3 linked regions of the Schizosaccharomyces pombe genome follow. Changing the gene in region 2 together with the main gene of any one other region gives a genetic interaction. Each region holds a gene or a part of one and is shown on either strand. Other genes may lie near its edges.

Region 1 (3,888 bases), 3.7 Mb from region 2:
CATGTTACCTTCGTTTTCTAATCTTCCGAACTTATACTCTTCCTCGTATCTTGAAGAATGGAATGTCTTTGCTCAATACAAACGAAGAGAAAGCAACGCTACCGACTTTGAAGACTTTAGAAGTCAGGTTGGTGATGATGAAAGCAAGTTCGACGAACCTACTAGGTTCTAGTTAATAAGTATTTGCTTACTTGTAATTACGAATGCCAACATATCTTTTATTTGTTGATATTTTTGGTGTTCAAGTTTTATGGACCGTTTGGTCTGTAAGCGTTTTAAACCATTGATATGGCTGTTAAATAGACTTTAGTAATAGAACCTTTCCTTATCACTTTCTTTTATTTTATTCCTCTTTGTCTAGTAAATGCATCTTACTCATATATACTTATATATACTTATATATACTTATATATACTCACACGGTACAATACGCGTATAAAATTTAAGTATTGAGAAGTTGTTAGTATAAAATAGAACTTTTGCCCTATTAGGAAGGATTTGCAATGATTAATTGCATAACGAAAATTTTTTAAAAGCCTTAATGGAGAAAAGTAATGTAAAATAAGCCAATTACAACAGATAGCCAGTTCTAAGAGGTTTTATAAATACAACATTAGCAAAAAAATAACAGAAAACAACCTTTTCTGACGATTTGAACACGACAGATTAGATTAACGTAGTCTGATTTTATACAAAATGTAAAAATATCGTAAAAATTCAAGTGCGTGCCTTATTGAATAAAGTGCGTAGTGCAATAGGTAGGTTTGGGTGCGTTCTCGCAGGAAGTAGTGCGCTTTTTACGTCTGGAGGAATAACCTCTAACTCTCGTTTTTTCCTTTCATTATTAAACTTTTTAGCTTCTATGCCAATCGCGTACAAAAAATCTTTGATGAGACCGTCTTCTGAAACTTTGTAGAGACAACTCACGGGTAATCTTGGGAAATAGAGAAGTTCATCACTTGGAAACTCTCCCATAAGAAATTGCCATCCTGAAATCATGACTTTAGGATTAAGAGTATTAGAAGTTGTATCCAACACCAAGGGCGTCCTTATCACCACGGCGTTTTTTGGTACTCTCATACCTTTTTTTCCAATGGAGTCATGAGAGCATTTTTTAGCATGCTCTTTACAATTTTTATGATAGAAGGTGTCACACAGCTGGCAACCATAGACCCAACAAGCACCCATTGATGGCTTAGAGCAATAACCACAGTAAGCTAGATTAGTGATAGAGGAGCCAGTCGGCAAAGCAGAAAACTCGTCAGTATCCATTTCTCCTTCAGTTTCCTTATAAGCACCTGTATCCCCACGAGATATTCCATGGAAATAATGCACAAGGTCGTCGGGCAATCGGTACTGCGAGGGATTCTGAGAATCAATCCAATCGTAAAGCTGGGACCATATACTAAGAGGGTGCTTAGGAGGGTGATGCGATTTGATTGAGCAAGTCACACAAAACCAAGATCCTTCTGGAATATTTTCAGGAGTCAAGGGAGGTTCCAAGCATGAAAGATGGAAACTGCAAGGACATCCCTCGCAACAAATAAAAAGACCTCTTCCTCCGCATGCACTACAATAGTCGACGTTGCGTATAGTCGCTTTTCGTCTCCGTCGCTTTACAGGAGTTTGTTGAGATTCGGTTTCGAGATGACTTTTTAGGGAACTACCCCGGCTTTTTTGAATAGGTGCTTTATTTGGAGATTTATTCGAATAACTAGCTTTTTGTTTTTTCACTGGAGAACTTATATCCATCTCTTTGTCTTGGCTAATTGGCAAGACATTTACATGGTCAGTTGAAGAGTGAGTTGATGATGTTAAAGAATTATTTTTAAAATTAGAAGGGGGACCTTCATTTACGAAAGAGTCGCCATGACTATTATTAGAAATTGAAGGTACTGTAGGTTGAGATGAATTGTTTATAGAGGATGCCATTAGATACTTCCCATGCTATGAGCAAAGCAACATGTAATACGCGACGGTTAGCACTTAGAAATATCAATACTATCCTTAATGTTTTAAGGAATATTAAAGGTAAAATTAATGGTTATCGTAAAAAAGAACAATGGTCGAGGTTGTAAGTATATTATAGTGAAGCAACGCTGTTATGAAGATGCTAAGTTACAACAAGTCTTTGAACGCCAAACGTCGTTGCAATTAGACTTAGAAAACTACTTAAAGATATCTGATTTTCGAGAGGAGCATTTAGTATAAATGATTATCATAAGAATAAATTCCCTTCTATATGTAAAATATTTGAACATTTTGTTAAAAACTATTATCCATTTGATGGAACATGGAGCGTAAATTAAGTAGAGAAGCACTTTATGCCTCTTATTATGTTGTTCATCGTTTTTTCGTCAATTCAATATATTCACTAATTACTTAGAAGATGAAATAACTAAAGAATTTGACCACAACGTGAAAAAGTTGTATATATAATACATTCGTTTACAAACGTTTACTGCAATTAATTATCAAGATGAAATTATAGACGGTGAAACTTTTAAGGGTACTTTTTGTTGTTCAAACACAATTCCAAAAACCTTTGGAATAAGAATTTTCTCAAATTTCTTAATTCATGTCTATTAATTGCTATTTTTCGTGTGGTATATACTGTTCAAATCCAACCTCTCACCTAGTCATTGCCTCCTTCTTTTACACTAAGTTGTAAGTAAACTTATAACCAACCACAACTCGGTTTGCCCTTTAAAAAATATTTGTTTGAAGTCTAATGAATATTAAGGGAATTAACTAAATTAAATTAAAATCAAAGATTTGATTTAAGATATTTGAAGACTTCCTCTGTATTGTATAACGAGCGACCTTAAACAGTATCGATTTGGAGAGCACTGTGACGGAGATTTGACATATTTCACACAAAATGTTAAAAACGCAAGAGATATATTCTTCAGAAGATGAGGATGACATGTGTTGGTATGTTTTACTAGCCGATTAGTATCAAAATTAACTGACAATTGCAACAGTCCTCTATGTATGGAAGAAATTGATATCTCTGATAAAAACTTCAAACCATGCCAATGCGGATACAGAGTTTGTAGATTTTGCTGGCACCATATCAAAGAAGATCTAAATGGCCGTTGTCCTGCATGTCGCCGTCTGTACACTGAAGAAAATGTTCAATGGCGGCCTGTCACGGCAGAGGAGTATGTAATTCAGATTATAGAATTCTTGTTTAAGCATAATCTTGTTTAAATTCACTTTTATTTTTAAACATGTCGCTAATGTTTTTAGATGGAAGATGGACTTACATCGAAAAAACGAGAGGAAGAAACGCGAGAAAGAGAGGAAGGAAGTCGAGCTTTCAAACAGGAAGCATCTTGCAAATATTCGTGTTGTACAAAAGAACCTTGCCTATGTAAACGGCCTTTCTCCCAAAGTTGCAAATGAGGAGAATATCAACGTTCTGAAGGGACCTGAATACTTTGGTCAATACGGAAAGATTATTAAAATTGCAATAAATAAGAAGGCTGCTGCAAATTCTGCAAATGGTCATGTTGGAGTTTATATTACATACCAAAGAAAAGAAGATGCTGCACGAGCGATTGCTGCAATTGATGGCAGCGTAAGTGATGGGCGACATCTTCGCGCATCTTATGGTACCACTAAATATTGCACTTCTTATTTACGGAATCAGCAATGCCCCAATCCTTCTTGCATGTATTTACATGAACCCGGTGACGAGGTGGATAGTTATACTAAAGAAGACTTGGCATCTCTTCAACATACCCGTCCTCTTTCCACTAAACCTAATGTGGTAAATGGTGCTACTCATTCTCCTTCTCCTTCTCTTCCATTCAAAACACCTCTACTTCCTGTTACGAAAACACCGTTAGAAGAGGCTAATAGTAGTCCAGCTGCACAAAATCA
Region 2 (4,280 bases):
TGTGCCATAAAAAAACAAAGGTTCCAACTCGAATAAGAAAAGCGATTCTGTTTTTAAGCTTGATTTAGCACAGATGAAATGGAAATACAAGGTCATTTTCATGTTGTGTTGGTTCCATAAACAAAATGTTTTGTCAGTAGATGAAATCTTAGATCTCTGTAGATGTTTTTCTTAAATTAATAGTCCCTGTCAAAAAGTCGTTTTTTTTTTAACATACTGTTGTTTCCTAAAATTGGAATTATATATTTTTAAAATTAATAGATTTACTAACACTTTTTCTTGATAATAAGCGTGAATTTGGAATTATACATTCTAAACATCCACAAATGAATCACTTAATTGACTTTTATATTTAATGTTGTATTATTAATCGTAAAGAGTTAAATTTTTCTTACTTCAGAAACCTCGTAAAATTAATGTTTAACAATATATTTTTAATATTCTTCTTGGCCATAACGATAACTCCCAATTATTTAAAAACTCACACGCAGTGAATATTCCAATCTTCTCTTTACCTACACTCCCACTTCTTTTAATTCCCAATCGACGATATGTCTAGTAATCTTATCAAATCTTTTGGATTAATAGCAATTGGAGCGATCTCGGGTGTAACTTTCACGCATTTTTATTATAAAGGATATCAAGGATCCGATGTACCAGACTTGACACCCAGGTATACCAAATTTGACTCTGCTGGTCGAGCCTTAGAATCTATATATGATTTTAATGCCACCAAATTTTTTCAATACGGCATACCAGGACCAGTGGCAGACCAAAGGGTAAACCATGGCTATATGTCTGTGTTCGATCGGAGAACACGAAATCCATTCTATGTAAGCAAAAACACCGTTTCCTAAGCTTTCTTTACCTAGGAATTATAGATCACGGCAATAGATTAAATGTTTAAATTTCTGGTCTCTCGGAGTGCATTATATTAATAATAAACTAGACAGCGGAAACCATTACACAAGAATCGTTGAACCAACGCAAAGGCAATCGCAGGTACTCTGAGTTCGTTCCAGATGATAATATTCCTGAAATGTTTCAAGCAAAGTTAGGAGATTACAGAGGAAGCGGTTATGATCGTGGTCATCAAGTACCTGCAGCAGATTGTAAATTTAGTCAGGAAGCAATGAACGAAACTTTCTATCTTTCTAATATGTGTCCACAAGTGGGAGATGGTTTCAATAGAAACTGTAAGCAAAAACTTAACGAGACTTTTTCTTTTAATACATTAATAAATTTGACTAGTTACTAACTATAACAATTAGATTGGGCATACTTTGAAGATTGGTGTCGACGCCTTACAAGTAAATACGGCTCAGTTACCATAATGACGGGACCGCTGTATTTACCTAAAAAAAATGAACGTGGACAATGGGAAGTTCAGTATCGAGTAATTGGCAATCCTCCCAACGTCGCAGTTCCTACTCATTTTTTTAAAGTAATCATTGCAGAAAAATCAGGAGAGCCTACCTCAAGTCCATCAGTAGCTGCATTCGTTCTTCCCAACAAACCTATTGCTGACAACTTTCCGTTAAAGAACTTTGCAGTTCCCGTTGAGGTTGTGGAACGAGCAAGCGGATTAGAGATCTTATCAAACGTACCCAAGGGTAACCGAAAACAACTTTGCAGTGAAGTGGTGTGTCAGTTAAATGTTAAGGAGTTTGTTGAATCAGTTAAACAAAAACAAAAGAATCAAGGTAAATGATAAGAATAAGGAAATTTAATGAATCTCTAGTTTTTCTAGTTTTTCCGGTGATCGTTCTTTATTATGAAAATATTTAAACTGTTATTTACACAATAATACTTAAATGCTACATGTCAAAGAAACAATTATAAGTATTTTACCCAGTAGTATAACAACACTTGTAAGTGTTTAGCATGATTAGGAAAAGAACATGAAACGAATTTTAATTGCTGAAAGTTTATAATTATTAGAGAGAAAGCGCGTGAGCTACGTTGAAAAGAAAAATTTCTACGTTGCATATTAAGCTTTGCCGTCACTTCACAACTATACAACAAGACACATATCATAGGAGAGTAAAACAAAATGATAGAAAAAAAAATCATTATTATTCAGTTGAGATTTTTCTGCTCTCGTTGCATACGAGAGATATAGGTTCGAGAAACAATGTTCCAAGCATCCATATAGCGTTCCATACATTTGGAAACGCAAGACTTTTGTCTAGTTAGAATAAAAGTATTTTAATAGTTCTCATACCTTTTCATTGGGATCGAATGTGGAACCAGGCTCCGGGATACATTTATCAAAACAGTTCTCATTGATTTTCTAGATAAACCGATTAGTTAAAACATTCAATAAAACATAAAAAATGAATGGAGCATACACTTATCAATTCGCCAGCTTGAGCAACAGCAAGTTCCTGACGAATTTGTTTCATGAAAATGGATTTTTTGTCTTCAGAAGAAGGTGCATTTCCACTATTTCCACCGAAAATGCCCATTTTGTTTAAGTATAACGTTAAAACTTATGAATGTGGATAATTTTTACTCCTTTACAAGGAAAATTAATGAGGAAATGGTACGTTCGTGGAAAGTACCAAACGGTGTACTTAGGGAGACTAATTCAGAAACCGGCCATCATCACCAATTAGACTTCGTTAATAGAAAATGGATTTTCTAATATGCTGACATATGCGATACAACCAGACAGCAATCTTTGTTTTGTTTTCTACTTGGTATAAAAAAAAAAGATTTAATAAAATATTTCTAAACTAATGGATAGATATACTATTCGGGTCCTTTTGGTGAGTTTAGAAATAAAAGTTTTTTCAGCGTTTTTTTATTATTATTATTTTTAATATTTTAATATACGAAATGAATCGTTCATGACTTTTCATTACCCTTGTTTAGAAAAAAAAATAAAAATCCCAATTTGTAAGAAATTTTTATAGAGTTTTATAGTCTCGAAATTAAATCATGGAATTAGCACATCTTTTACTGCAAATAATCTGAGAATCAAACAAGTCACGTAAACATTTCAATGTTTAATACTGCTAGCGATATTATGGTGTATTAAATTTTATAACAAAAACGAGTTAGCTTGACATTGATAAAATTAATGCGACTGTTATTTACATTGAGAATTATATTGTTAAGTGAAATAGGATTATTCGAAGGAAAATCTATTTCGCTTACTATTCCTTTATATTTCTTTAGAATGATACCTTTGGATTGACTATCAATTGTATCTGTAAATCCACGGACACTTTCTTAATTCTGCGAAACTGCATGGGCGGCAAATTTTTCTTATCTTGAAATCTCTATATAGCCTTGCCCGAGGTAAATAAATAACAGGACGGCTGGGAGGTTGATCTTATCCAGAGCCAAACTCACCACCAAATCTCTTCTGTTTCTTTACAGTGGGAGAAATATTGTTTACCATTGTTATTATTATTATTATAGATATTCCTTTTAGTGTTTATTTTTTAAAACAAAAAAAAATACTTGTAACGAATTTTCATTAAGTATCATCTCTTGGATCGCTAAAATAAATCAGCGAATATTATAGTGCTGAAGCATTACACGTTCGAGGAAGTTGACAAATTTTAATAATTGCTTATCATTCCTATTAAATTAATAGTTTGATTTCCCTTTCAGGTTGCTTCGCTTTTGTAGCCCTTTGTTTCCCGTTCTTTTTATTTATTGTCCTCCACACTCATATAAAAAACTTTGACCATAAAAAGCTTAGACAAGCTCTTCTCAAATTCATTTTAAAATTATCTGTTCGCAAGCATTTTTGTCCCATGTCTGTGATAGCTCCTTCTTTTGATATGGCTAACATACTCACGGAGTTGTCTTCATTTTTAGGAGCATTATCCCTGGGATGTTGGGTCGTTTTACTGATCCCTCAATTACTTGAAAATTATAAAAACCAGTCTGGTGAAAGTATCTCTGATTTATTTTTAATCATCTGGCTTATTGGCGATTTCTTCAATGTACTTGGTTCCATTTACGGAAATGTCTCTTCTACTGTATTGGTTCTCTCATTTTATTACATTGTCTCTGACAGTACCCTACTTATGCAAATTTACTACTATCGTTGGAAAGCTGCCCGTCGTATTGCCAGTCGTGAACACGAACCCTTACTCCAAAGTCGTTCATTAGAAGAAGGTCTTCATGCACCCATTGGTAAACAACAAATTTGGTGGGATCGCCTTTCTACCCGTCAACAATTTGGTGTAATGGGATGTGTGGTTATTGTCTCGACAATCGTTGGAAACTTAATTATTTCTAGTGCCTCTTCTGACAAGAGT
Region 3 (4,285 bases), on a different chromosome or scaffold from region 2:
TAGACTTGCAGTATATTCAATTTTGAAAGCACATACATCATCATTTATCTGGCCGTAAATTTTTATTTTCTCAGCCAACAGTTCATACTGCTGCAATCCAAGTTTTGCGTTTTTAGAAACTGCCAACTGGCCTTCAATATTCACACTAGCACCATATGATAGCCTTGATAATAAATTAATGTTAGTAGGAAAAAGATATCATATAATTTAGATTTTATGTCTCCTCCTCAACCATACTTCTTACTCTGTTCAGGCGAAGTCACCACTTGAAGGGCTTGTTGACATGTACCATCAGAAACCATGGCAAAACAAACATTTTTTAGTTTTCGGATAGATCGTACCCAGCCGTTTATGCTTATTAACTCTCCATTATGTGGGTGATGCCATAAAGACTTTAAAGTTTTTGGTAGTTGGAATTTATTCATACGGAATTAGCAAACAATTCAATTTTAATTATTAATTTACAAAAAATCCTCTATTGCTAAGGAAATTATGAATTCTTCCAAAAACTATTCGCCAATAACTAGAAATGCAAAGAGCGGTAGTAGTAAGGCGACTTTACATATCCTCAGTATGAAGGTGTTGCGTTAAGAATTAAGTCATTTTAATAAGGACTTGTAAAAAGATACAAAGTTACTTAAGTAAGTTAAAACAAATTTTTTCGTTCAAAAAATTGTAAGGACGTCAATTGGAGAATCCAGAAAGTACCACTTTAAAGTCATCAATGGCTGACTTCGTGGCTTCTAGAAGAGGAAGATTGTCGTAACTTGGTATCATTTTTTTCAAATTTATAAATTGAAACAACATCTGATCGCGTGTCCATCGTCCATTAGCTTCTTTTACGATATTTTCCCAATGAATTTTACCACCATTGTTCAATAACGAGTCGTAAATCCTTAAATTAAAATATTAGCAAGCAAGAGAAATTATGTAGGTCAATACTTACCTTTCTAAGAGCCAAACGTTTTCTTGAAGTTCAAATTTTGAAGCAGCCTTCGTCAATTGCTGAAATTTATAACGACACTGTAAACGAGTCCTAGTACCTAACATTTGGGCAACAAGCGTCCAATTAATGTCAGAACTTAAGTCTTCACGGTTACGGAGTTCAGCAACTATTTGCAATAACTGAGTTTCCTCTTCCAACGACCAAGCATTTCGTTTCAATTTATCGCCAAAACGTACTACGTCGCGCCAACGATCACGACAATCATTAGGCATTCGAGCCATTTTACGACCAATTTTCGTCCAGCATTTACCATGTTCAACAACATTTCTAAACGTTAATGATTTTTGAATAAAAATATAAACACATACTTTCTTAATTCTTCATCTTCTTCTTTGCTCCACACACAGCGATCTTCAAACGGGTTATATGCACGTCGTACATGGTGATAAATACTCTTGGCATCACGATGGGAAAGCTTTTTATATAAATTAGAGTAAAACATTCTGATTGTTTTTGGACATTTTCCTGCCCAAATTTGATTGCAAAATTGATACTCGGACCATCCTTGATCCATAATAAAATTATGTACTTCTTGGGAAATAATGGCAGTTTCCTGGACCCCGAAATCCCCTCTTCCAGAAGAATTTTTTCTACTATATTTCTCATAACCTGGGATGTTGTAAAGGGCCCGGAGGTGCCGTAATATTGTTCTTCTGGTAAAACTAGGCATTTCTTGAACCAATAATTTAACTAAAGAAGAGAGTGGCCCGTGAAGTCTTTTTTCGTGTAGAGAATCGGCTACCTGTGTATGGTCTAATGAATAGGTTTGACAGAAGTTTTGCATTCGTCGTTCTAAATAGTCCCAATGTTCCGCAGTCCATCTAGCACTACCTTTCAAAAATGGATCCATATTGGTAATTTCCGAAGGGCTTATTAAAATAGAATCATTTGTTTGATTCGAAGTAGAGTTTCTCATGGCATTCACACCTTTGTTAACTTTTGACAAGAAGGCGCTCGAATCCACATTATCATTTCCTAAAGCTATAGAAGAGGAGGCTAAAGCATCCAAATGAATGGATGTATTTTGTTCAGAAAGGTTGGAGTCTTGGGCTTGAAGAGACATTAAGGCCTCGAAATTGCGATCATTTTTACCATCTTCTTTAATGCTTAACGCGGGAGAAAACTTAGGCTCTATTGATCCAGAATAGTCATTGTTATTTGTTTTCAATCCTTTGTTAAGTGGAAAATCATCAAAATCATTCTTTCGTTTCCTTGATGATTGCAAAGAATCCACGCCAATAAATCCATGAATCTGAAGTTCCGGATTTAATACGGAGGTATCCATAAAGATTATATTTTTGAAGTACTATAATTGAGTAATCACTTCAACTTATCAATCGCTAATATCGTACAAAACGCTTCGTGAGCTTTAATTCGCAGTTTGCTAGCACAGCGATTTAGGAAGGGTGGGACACAAACTGAGGAGTGTAAATCTGAAATAAAGATGGTTTGTTATTAAGGGATATATCGACACGCTGCATTTCCTTATAGGCAATGCTAAGTAGTACAACGAAAACATTAATGATATACAAAAAATGTTGTTTTTGCTTACCACTTAGTACAAAAAAACTCATATTTATTATCGTCCTAAAATATGAAATTGTACTATTAATCAAATAAACAAGAAATGCAGAAATATACCAATAGTATTTAATTGGAAAAATTAGTAGCATACGAAGATTTGTCTTTAAAAATGAATATCCCAAAAGAAATACAGAAATAGTTAGGAATAAATCAATTGAAATGAGAATGAGGAGAAAATTTTTTTTGTACTCACATACATGGTAAAAAGTATTTGCATTCGATAGTAGTTGGAATTTTTTTGAACGAATCTATAGCACTATTTACTCTGTTACAAAACAACTAAAATAAATGTTTAATTAATTGAACATTTTGAAGAAATTGGGTTCTTGGCAATAAGTTTACAAGACCGGGATCTGATGATCATAATAAACATTCAGAAAACAATGGGTTTGGCACATCGTGGTCAACTGATCATTGTTGTTGTTTTTCTATGAACATCATATTTTAGGAGTTCTCTTACCATAACATCACCTTTTGCTGGTTGATGACTATAATATTGTTATTGAGATATTTTTTATCAACAGTTTGTTTTGATGAGTGCATTTGTTTAGTTTAAACGGTAGCATTAGGTAATACGGCGATCACAGGATAGCTTTATTTTTAGCAGTTATACAGAGTATTTAGCAAATGTTTGTTTACTGCAGTCATTATAGCTCATAATTAGCATTTTTTCAAGCCACCTGGTTTCATAATTCTGTAGCAATGTCTTGCAGACGGGCAGAAAAAAGCACTCAGTAAAAACAAATAAAGCATGGAAGGTATTTATTCACGAAATAGGAATCTCAACATTTCCCTTCCATCCCGACTAACTTCAACTTATAAAGAATTGGTTGACAATGGGAGACCGATTCATTCCCATTCGCAACGTTAGCAATGAGTTCAACTTTAGTTTCCAGTCATTCAAAGAATGTGTGTTAAGCCATGGATCAAATCTTAGGCGCAAAACCTCTGGCACTAGTATGTACCTTTTTTAGTTTTATATTCCCATTACTAACGACAGCAGTTCAAAGGCAATTCATGGAGCTACTAAGCATGGAGCTCTTCGGTTCACAAGCATCTCGCTCTAGAGCCTTCTATTATGGAGAAGACAAAAGGAAAATTGAGAAGAAAATGTTGGATACACCTGATAGAAAATCATATTCTCTATCTCCTATTTCACCGCAATCTCAAGATATGTTGCGGCAACCACAAAAGCCCAAAAGAGCTTTTCCAAAAACTCCATATAAAATCTTGGATGCACCTTACTTAAAAAATGACTTTTATTTAAACTTGCTTGACTGGGGCCAATCTAATGTCTTGGCAGTCGGACTAGCAAGCAGCATTTATCTCTGGTCAGCAGCAAGTGGTAAAGTGGTTCAATTACATGATTTCGGAGCAACAAATCATGTCACAAGCGTCTTATGGACAGGTAAAGGAACTCAATTAGCTGTAGGGACAGATTCAGGAGTAATTTACATCTGGGATATCGAGTCTACGAAATCAGTCAGATCTTTAAAAGGTCACTCCGAAAGGGTGGCAGCATTAGCATGGAACGATAATACCCTCACAAGTGGAGGCAAAGACGAAGTAATTTTACATCATGACCTAAGAGCACCAGGTTGCTGTGCCGAAATGATGAAAGTTCATGAACAAGAAATATGCGGATTGCAATGGGATAGAAGTCTAGGACAGCTTGCTTCAGGAGGGAATGACAAT

What was found. Genes that interact genetically often act in the same process or in processes that back each other up.
Region 1: mutations in tim13 (region 2) and cph1 together harm fitness more than expected from each alone (negative genetic interaction), as found in Schizosaccharomyces pombe (2 studies listed by BioGRID).
Region 3: mutations in tim13 (region 2) and reb1 together harm fitness more than expected from each alone (negative genetic interaction), as found in Schizosaccharomyces pombe (2 studies listed by BioGRID).

What each region holds. Positions count from the first base shown.
Region 1 is NC_003424.3:797,594-801,481, reverse strand, and holds cph1 (Clr6 histone deacetylase-associated PHD protein-1 Cph1), read right to left. Parts: upstream 2,116-3,888; 5' UTR 1,933-2,115; coding exon 718-1,932; 3' UTR 501-717; downstream 1-500. Other genes in the region: ATP-dependent RNA helicase Upf1, read left to right, coding at 1-172; CCR4-Not complex subunit Mot2, read left to right, coding at 2,882-2,934, 2,985-3,164, 3,253-3,888.
Region 2 is NC_003424.3:4,482,266-4,486,545, reverse strand, and holds tim13 (TIM22 inner membrane protein import complex subunit Tim13), read right to left. Parts: upstream 2,556-4,280; 5' UTR 2,469-2,555; coding exon 2,352-2,468; intron 2,294-2,351; coding exon 2,225-2,293; intron 2,182-2,224; coding exon 2,080-2,181; 3' UTR 1,889-2,079; downstream 1-1,888. Other genes in the region: endodeoxyribonuclease Pnu1, read left to right, coding at 552-833, 950-1,196, 1,272-1,711; G-protein-coupled receptor Stm1, read left to right, coding at 3,771-4,280. UniProt on the Schizosaccharomyces pombe protein: Mitochondrial intermembrane chaperone that participates in the import and insertion of some multi-pass transmembrane proteins into the mitochondrial inner membrane.
Region 3 is NC_003423.3:191,252-195,536, forward strand, and holds reb1 (RNA polymerase I transcription termination factor/ RNA polymerase II transcription factor Reb1), read right to left. Parts: upstream 2,359-4,285; 5' UTR 2,292-2,358; coding exon 1,315-2,291; exon of another isoform or gene 1,274-1,314; coding exon 947-1,273; intron 896-946; coding exon 685-895; 3' UTR 501-684; downstream 1-500. Other genes in the region: asparagine--tRNA (Asn) ligase Slm5, read right to left, coding at 37-163, 238-425; ubiquitin ligase Mfr1, read left to right, coding at 3,427-3,547, 3,594-4,285.